2 linked regions of the Xenopus tropicalis genome follow. The protein of the gene in region 2 purifies or fractionates together with the protein of the main gene of each other region. This does not show direct contact. Links are inferred from orthologs where the notes say so. Each region holds a gene or a part of one and is shown on either strand. Other genes may lie near its edges. The genes, in order: cbx1 and adnp2.

Evidence for each region.
Region 1: the proteins of adnp2 (region 2) and cbx1 purify together in Homo sapiens (affinity purification with mass spectrometry; 5 studies listed by BioGRID and IntAct, with this or other methods). This does not show direct contact. The link is inferred for Xenopus tropicalis from reciprocal best matches to the Homo sapiens genes ADNP2 and CBX1.

Annotation. Positions count from the first base shown.
Region 1 is NC_030686.2:11,721,599-11,726,004, forward strand, and holds the start of cbx1 (chromobox protein homolog 1), read right to left. Parts: upstream 3,131-4,406; 5' UTR 3,009-3,130; intron 989-3,008; 5' UTR 959-988; coding exon 819-958; intron 1-818. UniProt on the Homo sapiens protein: Component of heterochromatin. Recognizes and binds histone H3 tails methylated at 'Lys-9', leading to epigenetic repression. Interaction with lamin B receptor (LBR) can contribute to the association of the heterochromatin with the inner nuclear membrane.
Region 2 is NC_030682.2:96,896,491-96,899,779, forward strand, and holds part of adnp2 (ADNP homeobox protein 2), read right to left. Parts: intron 477-3,289; coding exon 1-476. UniProt on the Homo sapiens protein: May be involved in transcriptional regulation. May play a role in neuronal function; perhaps involved in protection of brain tissues from oxidative stress. May be involved in erythroid differentiation.

The sequences.
Region 1 (4,406 bases), on a different chromosome or scaffold from region 2:
GTTCTGCTGAAGATACACTACTATGGGTCAGACCAATTGGCCTCTGAATTGCTCAGGTTCCCCCAGTCACATGTGTAATACTGGGTACCCCTGTGCAGGGAGCCCTCCATACACCCATCATAGAGGCATCCGTATGTAATACACATGTATAATATTGAGTCAGATGCTGAGCTGGTAACATATCTACACCCAATCAGAACCCCAGATCCTCTTTAACAGTACACTGTATGGCTGTGCTGCAAACATTGGCTGCCTGAGATAAGAAAGGTGGCAAAAGGCCCATTTGAATTCCACTCAGAACCTCTGATAAACACAGCAACTGAAGAACCAACCAGCAGCCACAGTATATAGATATCAGTTGGGATCAATAACGGGGAGCAAAAAAGTACAATGAGCAGACGCTGGTTAAAATCCCTCATATTCAGCTGTAAAAAAAAGTTATTAACCCATGAGTAAAGCCTTAGGCGTTTTGGGCTTCCCTCACACTCAATGGCAGGCTGAGTCACTTTTTAAGGCGAAATAAAAAACAAAAAAAATTAGCCAATCGGTGGATACAAGATTTCCTTGGGGGGGGGGGGGGGAGGAGTCTCAGTTTAACTTTTGATGTAAGTTGTCATAATGAACACTAATATTTGTGTTTACTTCCCCTTTTGTTTTTTTCCTGATCGGTTGGATATCAGGTTTCCAGATAAGAGACCCCATACCTGTAATATTTTACAGTAATACAGACGCGGCGTGCAGGTTTATGAACGCTCCCCTTACCGGTTCAATGTGCATTAGCAGCGCATAAGGACAAGAAACCATGGAGCAGCACTTACTCAGAGAAACCTTTCCATTTCAGGAGATACTCCACTTTCCCTTTCACCACCCGTCGGTCCAGGACCTTCTCCACCACGTACTCCTCCTCCTCCTCGTCGACAACCTCTTCCATCTTTTTCTTGTTCTGCTTCTTTCCCATGGAGGTCGCCAGTTTATCTGCTTAATGGAGCTGCATGGGAAGAAAGAGGAGAACTTGGTGACTTATAATATCCTTATGCTTTACATAAGGGGGTACATAATTCCCTATATGTGTATGTAGTTTGCATTACTGTGTGGGGTTACATGTTTGAATCCAGCCAGGGCACACATCCGCATGAAATATGTATGTTCTCCTTATATCTGCGTGGCTCTCCCACACTCCAAAACCATACAGGCAGGTTATTCGGCTTCTAATAAAAGCGACCCTAGTGCGTGTACCTTAGATTGTAAGCTCTACTGTCAGGGACTGATGGTAGTGATGAACCCCCAACACCCAGTCATAATTTTCAGCTGCCGGCAGGAAATAACAAAACCGAAATATACAAAATAAATAATAAAGGTCAAGCGAAAAGTTGTTCATAGGTCTATCTACAACACACTAAGAGTTCATGCAAACATCCCCTTTAATGGCCTGAGCCGATGTGTGAGAGATACGACACAGCTGCAGATGTCACAGACTGTCTCGGATTCACATAACTGATCCCTATTGCAGCGCCGAGACAGCGCAGATTAGACTGCAAGCTCTGGGAGACCCATAAAGGAGACGGTATAATGTAGCCTGGGACTACAGACAAGATTTTACTGAAGGCTCCGGCTTGACTCCTACAGCCCTGCTGTCCAGGCGGAGGGTCCCCAGGGCCAGATGTTTCCCTCCATGGGATTGTTATGGCCTCAGGATCTATTACAGCAGTGGTCCCCAACCTTTTTTGCACCACGGACCGGTTTCAAGCAAGACAATTTTTCCAAGGACCGGGGATGGGGGGGTGTGGCGCAACTAGTGCATACTATGCACGTTATTATTATTATTATTATTATTATTATTGCATACAGCTTAATAAAGTACTTTGGTCCTTGTCGTGATCAGTAGAAATCTTCCTGGGCTCCGCATAGCTATTGTCATGGCTGTGTAACGCATCAGGGAGTTGGGATCACGGGTAATTGGGACCAGAGGTGGCCCGGTTCAGCACAGCCCATGGACCGGTGGTTGGGGACCCCTGTATTACAGGGCTCCACAGACTATTCATTCAAAATAATCCAGACCCTAAACGTGCAATACATTTGGTAGCCATGCAGACACAGTGCACAGAATGAATAGGAGTAGCCTTGAGTGAAGCTGTGCCACGTGCCAGGCTGCCTGGCTTAGAGCTAACACTCCCCCCCCAGCCTGGCATTGCCCCCCCCCGCCTGGCTCTGTTACACACATGCTATATGCATTTCACCTCAGGAACTTGCTCCTTTGCCCCCATTCTGCAGCCTCTTCTATTTCTGCACTTTGCTACTGAGTGAGCGACTCCCCACACAATGTACAAAGCTAATTATGGCTCCCAAAGAATGAAAGCTCTGCAGCCAAATAATACCAGCTGTGTGGGAGTGTTTGCCCCTCACATTCCCCTGGCCGGAGGTTACATCACGTTGGCTACTGCAGCCCTGCGAGTGTGGGGCCCCACAGCCAACATTCCCTCTGCTTTTCTATGGGCCAGACGTGCAGAATTCAGGTTTTGTGGCCTGAGGTGCAATGTGCGCACACAGGGCCTTGGGTGCATCTGGGGGATAATATGCCAACCTTACCCCCTGGGGATAGGAGCCACCATGTGACTGGGCACTATGCATAAAGTTTGGGAAGAACATTGTACCAAGAGTGGGCCACTGACTACAACTCCCAGCATCCCCCACAAAACCCTGGGAAACAAAGCTACATCCATAGTGCAAACATGGACTTGTGAAATCCCTGTAACAAGTTATACCCTGTGCTGGGAATGCTGGGAAGTGTAGTTTTCAGAGCAGTTGGAATGCTACAGGTTGATGGAGGCAAATCACTAGTGAATTAAGTTGCAAGAACTTGTTTGTGTGCGAATAACAGAACGTTGCTGGCTGCATGTTACGCACTACAAATCCCAGCATGCTCAGCGGCCCGTTTCCCAGAGGAATGGGAGGGGGCAGTCCGGCAGTAGGGAGAGAAGGCGCACATGCGGGGATCAGGCCGCCCTTACCCGCCGCTTGCTTGGGCTCCCCGGTGCCTGGGGCCTGGGATCGGTCCGGCTGCGCGGCTGGAGCTCGCTTTCTTCTCGGCTATTGGAGCGGGTTCCGATCCCCTGAATGAACAGAACAAATTGATTCCTGTGCGTCCCGATCCGGTTCGGTTCTAAGGATGTGGCGCCTCCAAACAAAAGAAGCAGCGCTGCCGCCAAGGGATCGGGGGAGTGCGCATGCGCGGGGGGAGAGCCGCCTAGCATGGCGGGAAGTGTAGTTCTTTCCCTGGGAGCCATGTACGGGCCGAGTGGGCAGTGTTTAATGAGCTTATCTGTTGCTGGCTGTGTGGGGCCATGATAGTGGCTAGTAGGCGTGAAGGCTGCTGGCTGTGTGGGGCCATGTTAGTGGCTAGTAGGCGTGAAGGCTGCTGGCTGTGTGGGGCCATGTTAGTGGCTAGTAGGCGTGAAGGCTGCTGGCTGTGTGGGGCCATGTTAGTGGCTAGTAGGCGTGAAGGCTGCTGCCTGGTCCGGCACAGATTTAGCCCCTCAGTGTGGAGCCCGGGAATCACTTCACTGTTTTTATAGTCGCTGCACAGTTAAAGCTGGAATGGGAAGGGGTCGGTAGGTATGGCACTGGGGTGAGAGACTGGGGGGGTGGGCAGGTATGGCACTGGGGTGAGAGACTGGGGGGGTGGGCAGGTATGGCACTGGGGTGAGAGACTGGGGGGGTGGGCAGGTATGGCACTGGGGTGAGAGACTGGGGGGGTGGGCAGGTATGGCACTGGGGTGAGAGACTGGGGGGGTGGGTAGGTATGGCACTGGGGTGAGAGACTGGGGGGGTGGGCAGGTATGGCACTGGGGTGAGAGACTGGGGGGGTGGGCAGGTATGGCACTGGAGTGTGAGACTGGGGGGTGGGTAGGTATGGCACTGGAGTGTGAGACTGGGGGGGGTGGGTAGGTATGGCACTGGGGGTGAGAGACTGGGGGGGTGGGTAGGTATGGCACTGGGGTGAGAGACTGGGGGGGGTGGGTAGGTATGGCACTGGAGTGTGAGACTGGGGGGTGGGTAGGTATGGCACTGGAGTGTGAGACTGGGGGGTGGGTAGGTATGGCACTGGGGTGAGAGACTGGGGGGGGGGTAGGTATGGTACTGGGGTGAGAGACTGGGGGGGGTGGGTAGGTATGGCACTGGAGTGTGAGACTGGGGGGTGGGTAGGTATGGCACTGGAGTGTGAGACTGGGGGGTGGGCAGGTATGGCACTGGGGTGAGAGACTGGGGGGGGGGGTAGGTATGGTACTGGGGTGAGAGACTGGGGGGGTGGGCAGGTATGGCACTGGAGTGTGAGACTGGGGGGTGGGTAGGTATGGCACTGGAGTGTGAGACTGGGGGGGGTGGGTAGGTATGGCACTGGGGTGAGA
Region 2 (3,289 bases):
GAGCTAGCAGTTGAATTACATATCTTGCAATAGAATTTATCAACGGGCTGGAGCTTAAAAAATGAAATGGTGGAATTCAAGCTTATATTTGCAATGTCTTCATCTGTTTTTTCTCCAAAATATGAAACTACTAAGTCTTCATGATGGGTCATAAGAACATGTTTTTTCATGCTGTAATATAAAGTGTCTGTATATTGACATTTTGTACAAGAAAATTTGACAGTCAGATGATTTCTAGGCAAATTTACATTCTCTCTTGTGCTATTAGAAGGGGTTTTCCTAGTACTGGAGTGAAATATCCGCATGTGTTTTACCACAGTTTTTGACTGTGAAGTAAATGGGCAGCTGGGGCAAGCAGCCATAAGCTCCTGGTCCTTTTCATCATCATGATAGCGTTTTAGATGACTCTTGAATGAAGACAGCAACTTGGTTGAAAATCTACAAAGACTGCAGCAAAATGTCTTTGACCTATAATCCTATAAAAGATTAAAAAAAACAAATTAGAACAGCTAATGTTTCTCTAATAAATTCTATATAATACCATATGAAACTGTATGTTTATGAATACCTTTTTCATAATGTGTAAAATTATGCCCTCTAATCTGTGTAATACACCAACATTCAGAATTAGTTAATAGGAAATAGATGTAGAGTTCTCAGTTTCATGTACTCTATGGGGGCCTTAAATGGTTAAAGTTGCAACTTATGATATCTGAGCACTGGCATTTTCATAAACCCTTTTTTTAGGGCAATTATTGGGGCAGGGTAGAATAGATTTTTTTTACTTAAAAAAATTTTGTGTTACTTTTCCTTTAATTCTAAAATGTAAACCTAAATGTGTAACGAAATTAATTATAAATATATATTGATAAAATCAGCAACATATTTCCTGGCATGGTACAACAGAAAGATCAATATATCCAATAAAGATGTGGATTAGTGCTGCGTAGACCAACCTCAACGCCACAAATCAGCAGGGTCAGGCCATGTAATGCTATTGGCAGTTGGATGAAAGTCTGTTGTTTATTTATATGTCTGCTCAGCCCCTTTCAGTGTCATCAGGGAGGGGCAAGCGTTTGCCCCAGGTTGCACTGTCAGGTTCGAAAAGTTAGTGTTTTTTTTGTTAATGTGGATATTATTTCTGGACAAGGCGATCAGCACCTAAGCATTTTATCCTGGAACACATACTTACACTATACTAATGATTCAATCAACATTCTAGTCTATTGTAGTTATACATAAGCTATTGCATAGGTGCACATCCACACTTGCCGGAAAGGTTTTTATGAACACCTAACATGCTTTCAGCTTACAATGTGAAAAATGGAGGAACTAAACCGTTTATAAAGAACGATGAAGTAAACATTTGAAATAAGTGAAAACCAAGGGATCGACAGCCAAGGCATGCAAATGTTCAGTATCAGTGAAGCTACAGTTCCAGTTGAATTTTTTTCATGATTCAAGTTTTTTTTTCTTTTGCACTACAAAAAATCAACTCGAATGTCTAGTATTTATTAATTGCAGAAATGGGAGCTGACACAAAGTCAAAACATATTTTCAAACTCAAGTTTGTAAACTCAAAAAATTTTAGGTATTCCAATTTATTTGAACTAGTTTTCCTTATTAATAAATGTGAGCATTCGATATGCAAGTTTTTTCAAATTAGGAAAACAAACTCAAATTCACAAACTCAAAACTTGATAAGCCTATATGTTATGATTAAAGTTCAATGCAAGTACGTTTATATCAAATTGTCTTGCCCGTTATTTTTGTTTTTTTTCTTTATTAGATACTGTGCACAGGGCATGGACATCTTCAAACTAGTTTTCTACAACTAAATTTTAAGACATTTGGAAATTCTGACAAACTACCCATTAGCACTGTGGCCAAATATTCCCTTTGGCTAGTGGCACACAAGGTGTTTTTATGATGCCATCTAGCAGTGCACAAAACACCTTTACTCCTCTCCTCCTATTTTTATTTTGCTATACTATATGCAATCAAAAGGGTGGTTTATATTCAGCAGTATTAGTAGTGGCGACAAGTGAACACGTTCTCTACAAAAGTTAATTTTGTGGCAAACATTTTGCAGTTTATTTGGGTCCCCAAGAAATTCAGAAACACTATTATAAGATATCTTCTGACCACAGCCTTCTGATGTTTACAGGATAGAGAAATTATAAGATACATTATATATAATCTGTGAGTGCCCTGTGTTCACTGAATTCTATGATTTATATACTTTGGGTCTGCAGTATATAATATTATTGTATCAAGCCCCATTATTCACTGAAAAGTTTATATAGTGAATAATGTACCTCCTATAGTAAAGCATAAGGATTATAACTCACTGAGGTGTTCCATGGCCATTAAATGTCATGGAACTCCGAGGTGACTTCTAATACAACAAAGAGTACATCATCTATTAAAACAAATGCCTAGAGCGGCTTGAATGACTTTTTCAACAAGCATAATATCCAAGGTTATTGTAATCTAAAGATCTAGTTAGTTTAGAATATGTATTGATATATAGATTATATATGTATTGGTATATAGATTATATATGTATTGGTATATAGATTATATATGTATTGGTATATAGATTATATATGTATTGGTATATAGATTATATATGTATTGGTATATAGATTATATATGTATTGGTATATAGATTATATATGTGTGTGTTTATATAGATCTGTATGTGTATTTATGTGCAGTGGGGATGGTTTGAAGGAGTTGATATTAATTTGTCAAAACAACTTAACTATATAACCATGTATGGTAGACCCTGTATCTGTATATGTTGATTGTAACTTGTATTTGTGAGAGAAAGGATAGTCATGCTACACTGCAGCACTCATTGAGAACATCTCTTGGTCCAGTATATGTAACACACCGAGATAAGATTTCCATGACCCCCTGATAATTTATTCATACTGACTGGCAAATGTACTTCATTTAAAAAATCAGTGACATCAAGGGAGGGTCTTAGCCAAATGAGAACAAAAGATTTTAAAGTCTTGGGAGTTTTCTCCATTCGTAAAATTAGCTGCAAGCCTTGGCCAACAATAATCTAAACCTGTTTTGTGAGTTAACTATACAAATGTAGGCACTGTTTTCCTAACCATTTTTTAAGATCAAGTGAAATATTATTCATATTATGTAATACATCAGCTTTCATTTGGGTAAAAATAAAAAGCAAATATTTATCAAGCTGATTAAAAGTGTGTTACATGTGATAATTTAAAAACTTAGCAAAGGCTTGCTTTATTAAAAAAAATATTTC